2 linked regions of the Rattus norvegicus genome follow. Each later gene encodes a partner of the first gene's protein in a complex. Links are inferred from orthologs where the notes say so. Each region holds a gene or a part of one and is shown on either strand. Other genes may lie near its edges. The genes, in order: Prkaa2 and Prkag1.

Region 1 (4,550 bases):
GGAACTCAAGCAGGTCAGGAAGCAGGAGCTGATGCAGAGGCCATGGAGGGATGTTACTTACTGGCTTGCTTCCCCTGGCTTGTTCAGCTTGCTCTCTTATAGAACCCAAGACTAGCAGTCCAGGGACAGCACCACCCACCCTGGGCTGGGTCCTCCCCCTTGATCACTAGTTGAGAAAATGCCTTACAGCTGGGTCTCATGGAGGCATTTCCTCAATGGAGGCTCCTTTTCTGTGATAACTCCAGCCTGTGTCAAGTTGACACACAATACTAGCCAGTACAGTGTTTGTATGTGTTCAGGGAACTGCTATGGAAGTAATGGAGGTATGAAGTTTCATATTCCTGTAACAGGAAGCAAATAATCTTCAGGTATGGAAGGATCGACCAACATTAAGTAAAGCAAGGAGAGAAGGGGGAGGGGGAGGCAGGGAGGAAGAGATTGCTTGATCATAAATTATTTGCCCACTGTTAATACTCTGGTCATGCTTTGGATTCTCTTTACTATTTTTTTACTTTCATCCTCAGTAATCCATTTCTTTAATTTGCACTTTTACATCATTTTTGTTTCCCACAATTCTTTGATCCCTTCTGTGTTTTGCATTTACCTGAACATGTGAATTATTTCCTATATTAGTATTTCTCCTTTGTCCAGTCACACACACACACACACACACACACACACACACACACACACACACACACACACACACACACACAAGTGCTGAAATATACTTAGGGCTCTGTTTGTGATTTATTGAGAAATTTTGTTTAAATTAGTTAGAATCGAGAGTCCTGGAGAGGGTGTCTTTTATCCCTATAACACGATTGTCTATATAACTGAATGAAGAAAAGAAATAGAAGGAGGGACATAATTGCTCCTGGCTACAGTGGATATGCTGGTTTGTCATTTGTCAAATTGACACAAGCTAGGGTTATTTGAAAGGAGGGAACCTCAATTGAGAAAATGCCTCCATAAGATGTAAGCTGTAAGACATTTTCTTAATTAGTGATCAATGGCCCATTGTAGGTAGTGCCATCTTTGGGCTGGTGGTCCTGGGTTCTGTAGAAAACCAGGCTGTACCAGCCCTGATGAGCCAGCCAGTAAGCAGCACCCTCCCGGTGCTAACCCCCCATGGCCTCTGCATCGGGACTGCCTCCAGGTTCCATGTACTGTTTGAGTTCCCATCCTGACTTCCTTCAGAGATGAACAGTGCTGTGGAAGTGTAACAATAATACCTGTCCTCCCCAACTTGTTTTTTGGCTATGGTGTTTTATCACAATGAAAAAAAACCTTAACTAACACAACGAAGAAGGCTTATTGTAGATAAACGAACGTACAGGCAGAAGCAGGGACGTTTAGGAGAGTCCAGGGTGAACATGGGCAGACTGAGCAGGGCTATGTGAGGAGAGAGGGGGAGTGGGAGCAAGAGAGGAGCCAGGCCTAGAGGGGTGGGTGGTCTGGGCTGAGAGATTAGCACAGCCAAAATGGCTGAATAATCTAGGGACCAGGGGACCTGAGGGAAGGGGCTGGAGTCCCTGGGCTGGAGAGTTCGGGGTAGGAGTCGAGGTATGGCAGGCAGGAGGACCCTATCCCAGTTAGGGACTGAGGGATGCTGAGAGAACCTGGCAGCCAGCGTCATCTTTGATATGTTAATGATAGGCGTCTCCTTGGGCAGTTTGTCCAGGGTTTCGACCTAACAATAACGTGACAAGGAACTACAAAATAAGCGTGAGTTCTAAAACAATGGGGTCGCTATCTGAGGAGGGTACGGACTAGAGCGTTCCCAGTCAAATAAACCTTGCCTGGGGGGAGCGTGCCAGGGGCTAGGGAAGGGCCGCCCTCCCCGCCTGGTCCTGCTGTCCTGAGGCACGTCTCATGGTCTGCACCCCCTCACCCCCACTTCTCTTCAGATTCTCCTTTCACCTCGGTCGCTCTCAGACTCATCCCTTCCATCTTCACCGCCGTGGGCTTTCCTCAGGACGCTTCGGGCTCTGCGCCTCCAGCTCGCGTCCACACACGCCGAGCCGCGCTCACCCTACCGCGCCCCAGGCGTCCCCGTCCCGCCCCCCGGGCCCGCTGCACTGTGGGTAGGCGGTGGCGGCGGCGGCAGCGGCGGCGGCGCTTAGAGCCCGCGGCCCGGGGAGGCCGCGCGCCGAACATGGCTGAGAAGCAGAAGCACGACGGGCGTGTGAAGATCGGACACTACGTGCTGGGGGACACCCTGGGCGTCGGCACCTTCGGCAAAGTGAAGAGTGAGTGCAGCGGCGCGGGCGCGGGGCCGGGTGGCAGGTGGAGCGCTCGCAGGCGAGCCCGGGGCACAGGCACCTGGCGCGGCAGCCGGGGCGTGGGTCAGGGGGACCCACGGTCTGAGCTGTGCCTTGGCGGGGGTGTCTGCGAGCACCCTGTCTTTTCTCTACCCGTCAGCTCACTTGTCTGCAGAATTGGGCGACTGGCCCAGTCCAAAGGGCCCCGAAGCGTGGGGAGGATGGGGTAGTCACGGCGCCGCGGATTGGGAGTGGGTCTCCCACTGGTGCCAAGCGCTCTGCCTGGAGCAGCATCTGTGGTCTCACTTAATCCTTTACGTGGCGTAGCCAGGGTGCGGTCCTCACCTTAAAGGTGAGAGAACGCGAGCTCCGAGGCTTCAGCGGCACGCCCAAGGTCACAGAGAATTGGCAGATTCAGGGTGAGGTCTAAAATGTCCTCCAATTTTGGCCTTGCCGATAAGGCCCCTGGCTTCCCCAGATTCTTCCCTGTCCCAGGCCTTTGATGGTGGAGTTGACTAGGGGCATGCCTAGAGCTGAGAGGTGGCGAGTCCCCTCTGCTGGGTGTGTGAAAACGCTGGAATGCAGCTGGTTGGGCAGAGGCTTTAGGGGAACCCCAGCTCTGCAGGTTGATTGGTGTGTGTAAATTGGTTCTAGGAAGACTTCTGGGGTCAGGGTCTGGGAAAAATGTTCCTTGGTAATGGAATTTGGGTCCCCAAGATGTCAGACTTGCTTAGGCAAGGCGTTTGTTTGATGGCAAATTGTGGGTTTTGGGGGGAAAAAAAAACAGGTTGCTTTTGAAATTTCAACTCCACTTACTAGTTAAGTATTAAACTTTGCTTTGTTTTCTTATTAGTTAATAAGAGTCACATGGGTTTGGTTTGATTACCAGCTCTTGTTAAGAAGATACTTGGTAGCGAGTTGAGAATTAAAAGTGAAACGTTAGCTTTTTTTGTTGAATAAATAGTGGGTAAGCAGTCTGGGAATTTTATGCTAAGGCATATTTTTCACATTTTAACCTCCAGTGAAGACTTGAATAGAAGGCAGGGACTCATCATTCCTGCGAGGATTAACTCCTCTCGGTCTATCTAATACCCATTTGTACAATGAGAAACACTGCTTATTGAATGCTCTTACCACATGCGAGTTACTGTTCCAGGCAACAGAGTTCTAGGAAAGCAAAACCTGAGCTTTCTTGGGACTTTTCCGAGAGGGAAATGCAATCAGAATACACGTGAAAAATGTATGCTCCCTCCTACTGAGAAAGGCAACTAGGGGAAGAAAGGATGGGGACTTTAGTTAGGCAGATTATATTAAGGTGGTCACACATGGTCTCACCAAGTGGGTATTTTTGTAAAGACCTAAAATGTTCGTAAAGTTATTTGAAGTCTTATGAAATCGGGATCTTGTAAGAACTGTGGATAGTCGTGAGATGGTCCAGAGATTTGATGGGTGATGTTGACACCATCTTTGCTGAGAACTGCTTTGCTGGATTGGCAGTACAAAGTTATGCAAACGGCTGCTTTGCCATTTAGGGTAAGTTATATAACTTAGCCGTTTATGCTTTCATGTTCTGCTAAATGCTTTTGTTTGCTTTTGAAAAAAAATTTATTGTACTCTCGGTGTAGAGTGCAATACCAACTCTGATTCCTCAAACCATTGTCACGGGATAATTTAAAACTATTTGGTTATATTCTTTGCTTCTAAACCACCAGCTTCCTAAAGTATAAATGGAACTGAAGGGACCTTTGATTTACGAGAAAAATCTTTTTCTTGGAGAACCCTGGTGGAATGAGCTGTTTGGGGGTTTTCCTGATGTTGTTTGATCTTCCCTAAAGAAACACTGTATGGTGTGATAGTTACTATTTATGTCAAATGCACACAAAGAAGACTTAGCTAGGAAGGGAATCTGAATGAAGAGTTACTTAGATCTAATTAGCTCGTGCACATGTTAAAGTGGGAAGCCCCCCCCCCCCAAAAAAAAATTCTGGGCAGCACTGTTCCCTGAGATTGGGTCCTGTACTGTGTAAGTATAGAGGGATGGCTGAGCATGAGCAAACATCCATGCATGTGTTCTCTCTCTCTCTCTCTCTCTCTCTCTCTCTCTCTCTCTCTGTCTCTGTCTCTGTCTCTGTCTCTCCCTCTGTCTCTCTCTCTGTCTCTTTCTCTCTCTGTCTCTGTCTCTCCCTCTGTCTCTTTCTCTCTCTGTCTCTGTCTCTGTCTCTCTGTCTCTCTCCCTCTCTCCCTCTGTCTCTCTCCCTCTGTCTCTCTCCCTCTTTCTCTGTCTCT
Region 2 (4,406 bases), on another chromosome or scaffold:
GGCTCACAACCATCTGTGATGGGATCCGATGCCCTCTTCTGGTGTGTCTGAAGACAGCGACAGTGTACTTATATACGGATACAGCCCATCATTGTGAGGTCACTGTGGGGAGGTCACTGTAGGGAGGACACAGCAGCAGGGACTTCAGGAAGCTGGCCAAATAGTACTCAGTCAAGAGCAGAGAGGAATGAATGGACATACTCTCACTTGCTTGCTTGCTGCACTGTTTCATTTCTCCACTCTCATACAACCGTCTACCTAGGGGATGGTGCCACTCATAGTGGACTAAGTCTTCCCATAGCAGTTACTAAGACAGTATGCCACAGACATGGCCACAGGCCAACCCAATATAGACAGATAACCCTTCATTGAGGCTCTCTTCCCAGGTGATTCCAGGTTGTATCAAGTTGACAAGGCAAACAGTCAGACACAACTAATGAACCCACCATAGAAACAATTAAACGTGACTTCATCCTTCCTGCCTGTTTCTCCACGAGTGGGAGAATTAGGGCCACTCCCCTCTTCCTTTAATGAGACGGGGCTGAGAACTCTGGGCAGTGGTGTACAACTGTGTTCCCAGTGCTCAGGAGACACAGTTAGAAGGATTAGGAGTTCAAGACCAACCTCAGCTACAGAGTGAATTCAAGGTTAGACTGTGCTACATTAGACCCTGACTCAAAACGATAACAAGACACCCAAAACAAACCACTTCAGGGAACCAAAAACATATCACTGTACAACACACGTGTGAAGTATTATTACAGAGACGCAGGCTAGATCCTCTGACACTAAGACAAAACTACTTTCCAAACTCCTGATCTACGCTTCCAGTTGCGTCTCAACCACACGTTACAAAGACTATTGATAAGATAATAGAGAATATCTGTCTTCCCATCCTGTTCTTAACCTGTGACTTTTTTGTTTTTTCAGTGCAACTCTGCCATCTTTCCAGTGCCTGGGATGGTAGTTCTGCTTCCTTACATGTAAGACAGGTTAGAAACGCTCTGCCCCAACTCCGTCCGCTTTGTTGCCCGGCATTCTCTGACTCAGTTTCCCTGCTCTGCATTTTATCGTCTCCTTGCTTTATACTCTGATCAGCTGATAGCTGGAGTAGCTCGTCTGGAGAAAACTTCATATCCAACCACATAAAACATATTTCCCCAGGCTTGTGAGATGGTTCAGTGAATAAAAGAGCTTGCCCCATAAGCCAGATGACCCGTGTTGGATCCCCAAACCTACGTCAGTAGAAAGAGAAAAGCAACTCCAAGAAATTGTCCTTGGCCTCCACATTTGTTCCAAGGCACCAATGCACTTTCTCCCACCCCAATCTCCCTCCCTCCCTCCTTCCCTCTCTCTCTCTCACACACACACACACACCACACACACCACATTCACATACCACACACCACACACACACACACACACACACACACACACACACACACACGTCAAAATAAAAACCAAACCAAACAAAACTTACTTTCTGAGTGGTTTTGTCTGTTCACAGAAAGCTGTTGAGACCATCCCCTGCCTCCTTGCTCATAAATCTCCCACTGGTCCCATTACTACAAAAGGCCAAGCTGGGAGTATTGGCTCATGTCCACACTGACACAGAAAATCTGAGCTACCTACTGGGACCCTGTTTCCAAAAAAGTGTGAGAGAGAGAGAGAGTGTGTGTGTGTGTGTGTGTGTGTGTGAGTGAGTGAGAGAGAGAGAGAGAGAGAGAGAGAGAGAGAGAGAGAGAGAAAACAATGCTCTTAGCCAGTTTTTCTTACACCGGGACCAAAATCCAGTTTCAACATCACCAAGTCATGGGCCTGTACTCACTGTAATTTCTCCTTCCTTTCCTTTCAGGTGTCTGTAGCATGAGGATAGTACTTTAACTACAACCTACCTTAACTAACAGCCTTCCCCATACCTCTCATCTCCATCTCTCTGCAATCCAATAGATATTAAATTTAGCAAAGGGCTAAATTTAACATACAGAAAAGTTGCTTTTAAACTTTATACTCACAGTTTATCATTTATACTTAAGTTGTAAACAATACATCTACAAGTTAAAAAATAAGACTACTTTTGCTGAAAATACTTTCTCTGTAGAAAATGAAATCCTTGCTTGGTAACTGCTTTACAACTGTTATCTTTTCTTTTTTATAAGTCAAGTTATACTATTCCTCTGCAGACAAAGGTGCCAGGGTTGGGGGGTGGGGAGTGGGGTTGCTCCAAGCCAAGTAACTGACTCAAAGAAAATGAGAAAAGAAAAAAAAAAAATCCTAAGGGTGAACGTGCAAGTATTACATAGCTATACAATGGGAGAAGACAAACCCCAAGCTGCCCACAGAAGATATTTAGTTAAAAAACTATGGAACAGGAAGTCGATGGGAGGGCCTTCGGAGTGGCAGAGAAAGGCTCCTGTGAATGAGGTAGGTCAAACAAGTAGCAGATAACCTACAGCATCTGTAAGGAGCTGGCGGGAATCTGCCACCCTTGGTCAACACTGCTCGCCAAGAACGAACTGTCAACACGCATGCATAGCGTCACCAATCAGGACACGACCTAAACTTGTCCAAGGGACACAGTGGCTTCCTGCATTCTTTCCTTCACGGGAAAACTCCATTATGAAAGTAATGGAACCTCACTGATGCAGTATATTCTTTCAGATGTCAGAACTGCTTAAGCGGTCGCATATACGGGGTCCTGGAGCTTTCTGTAAGCCGGGGTCGCTCACCTAAATAAGCGGGATCACAACTCCGCTTTCATGCAAACTTCTCAAAGAACCGGAGGCACTCATAAACAGGGGGGCATGATCATCCTGGTGTTTGTGGGCTCCAAGCTCACAGCCCGCTTCGTCTCTCAGGGTACTGCAGACCCCAGGCGGACACGGGTGTGGCCCAGACCTCGGAGATGCACCCACCGAAGCAGAGGAGGGGAGTCCCGGACTCCCGCGGCAAGCTGGGCCCGGCCCTCCCCGGCTCCTAGCAGGGGGTCTCCGGCTCCACAGCGCCCCCCGCCGCCCCCCTGCGCCACTCACCGACTCCATTGCTAGCACCCGCCAGTTCCTCAGCTTGGAAAGCTCCCTTGCAGTAGGCCCCGCCCCACATCCGGTGCCTCGCGCCACTTCCGCCTACGTCACGCCCCAGGCCCAGGGCGGAAGGCGGGGAACCCACCCTTCCGGCGGTGGCTGAGCCTGCCTTGGATCACCTTCCTCGCCCAGCTCTCCCGGACCTTAAGATCTGGCTAACGGCGAGGGTCATGGGACAGAGGCGCTTTTGTATTTAAAATGTTCTTTTTTTATTTATCGTTTAAAAACAAACTTTGAAGAAGCAAAATCCAAAACTTGCCCTTTGCCTCTCGCAACATAAATTATGTACAGTTCAGAATGATCGCTGATACAAAACATGCCAAGGACAGGGGCGCTGGGGGTGGAGGAAGAGAGAGCGCTTTAAAAAAGGGAACCATTTCATCCGTTGTTACGAAGGACCAACCTTGCTGTACAGGATACACACAACACAAAATAAAGTTCTTCACGGGATTCACACTTGTCAGCGATTTATTTTTTTAAGAAGGGGGAGGGTCCTGGAGGTGAGGGTAGAAGGTAAAAGGGAGAAACTGAAAATTGAGTATGTGCAAGTGTAAACCAACCCAAAATACAAACAGGGGGCGGGGTTGGGGGTGGGATTCTGATGCAATTATACAGGCGGGGTACTTAAAAAAAAAAAAAAACCAACAACAACCAAAATTCCAACCTTGTAGCGTGGGTCTGAGTTATAGTTTATATAAAAATTAAAAGCTGTATAAGGTTTCTTCACTAAATTCTACAGGACTATCGGATACCTAGCATATGCTTACAAAGTCTGCCCCTTCTCCGTTCCCAGTTCTAGGGCCCAAGCCCCAGCCAGAGCCCCACTCACAGGAGACAATCTCCCCCCCCAACCCCCCAACTAATGCCTAGACCTTTCAGCTCTGTGGCTTTGGGGACAGCAAGCCCAGTTTTCCCACTGTCTGATCTAATTACAATGGTTTCTGTGGGAGTGTGTAGGGAGTTGTTATTCTCATAAACATTTGCAGCTTGAAACAGTTGAGGAAGCAGCTTAAAAAAAAAAAAAAAAAAAGCCAGAAAAAAAAAAAAGAAAAAAATCTCCCTACCCCCATCAATCCACAATCCCCCAAGTTTAAAACAAAACAAAAACCTAAAATCACAACAGCAACCGCTCTACCCCTCCAGCAGGCCTGCCCATGTGCCACCATCCAGCCCATCTCTACAGTCCAGATTATCTGATTCTTGAGAATATTAATTACAAAATGCCCTTTGCCCACAGCCCCAGGAGAGAACTGCATAGAAGCTTCATCTCATCCCCTCGGCTCCCTACCAGAGAGGGGTCTGAGGCCTCACACACCCTCTACC

Evidence for each region.
Region 2: the proteins of Prkaa2 (region 1) and Prkag1 are in contact, whole or in part, in a crystal structure (PDB 6B1U), measured with the Homo sapiens proteins. The link is inferred for Rattus norvegicus from reciprocal best matches to the Homo sapiens genes PRKAA2 and PRKAG1. Residues at the interface, in NP_006243.2 of Homo sapiens: Asp329, Asn330, Ile333, Met334, Ala337, Phe340, Tyr341, Leu342, His366, Pro367, Glu368, Arg369, Met370, Pro371, Pro372, Leu373, Ile374, Asn444, Val446, Thr447, Pro530, Arg531, Leu532, Gly533, Ser534, His535, Thr536, Met537, Asp538, Glu541; in NP_002724.1 of Homo sapiens: His36, Asp40, Leu41, Ile42, Pro43, Thr44, Ser45, Val50, Phe62, Leu64, Val65, Thr66, Gly68, Val69, Arg70, Trp75, Ser77, Lys78, Lys79, Gln80, Phe82, Pro158, Glu159, Ser160, Gly161, Asn162, Lys170, Arg171, Lys174, Phe175.

The regions. Positions count from the first base shown.
Region 1 is NC_086023.1:125,105,926-125,110,475, reverse strand, and holds the start of Prkaa2 (5'-AMP-activated protein kinase catalytic subunit alpha-2), read left to right. Parts: upstream 1-1,465; 5' UTR 1,466-1,728; intron 1,729-1,910; 5' UTR 1,911-2,158; coding exon 2,159-2,252; intron 2,253-2,328; exon of another isoform or gene 2,329-3,797; intron 3,798-4,550. UniProt on the Homo sapiens protein: Catalytic subunit of AMP-activated protein kinase (AMPK), an energy sensor protein kinase that plays a key role in regulating cellular energy metabolism.
Region 2 is NC_086025.1:131,856,428-131,860,833, forward strand, and holds the start of Prkag1 (5'-AMP-activated protein kinase subunit gamma-1), read right to left. Parts: upstream 3,058-4,406; 5' UTR 3,042-3,057; coding exon 3,033-3,041; intron 2,989-3,032; exon of another isoform or gene 2,730-2,988; intron 1-2,729. UniProt on the Homo sapiens protein: AMP/ATP-binding subunit of AMP-activated protein kinase (AMPK), an energy sensor protein kinase that plays a key role in regulating cellular energy metabolism.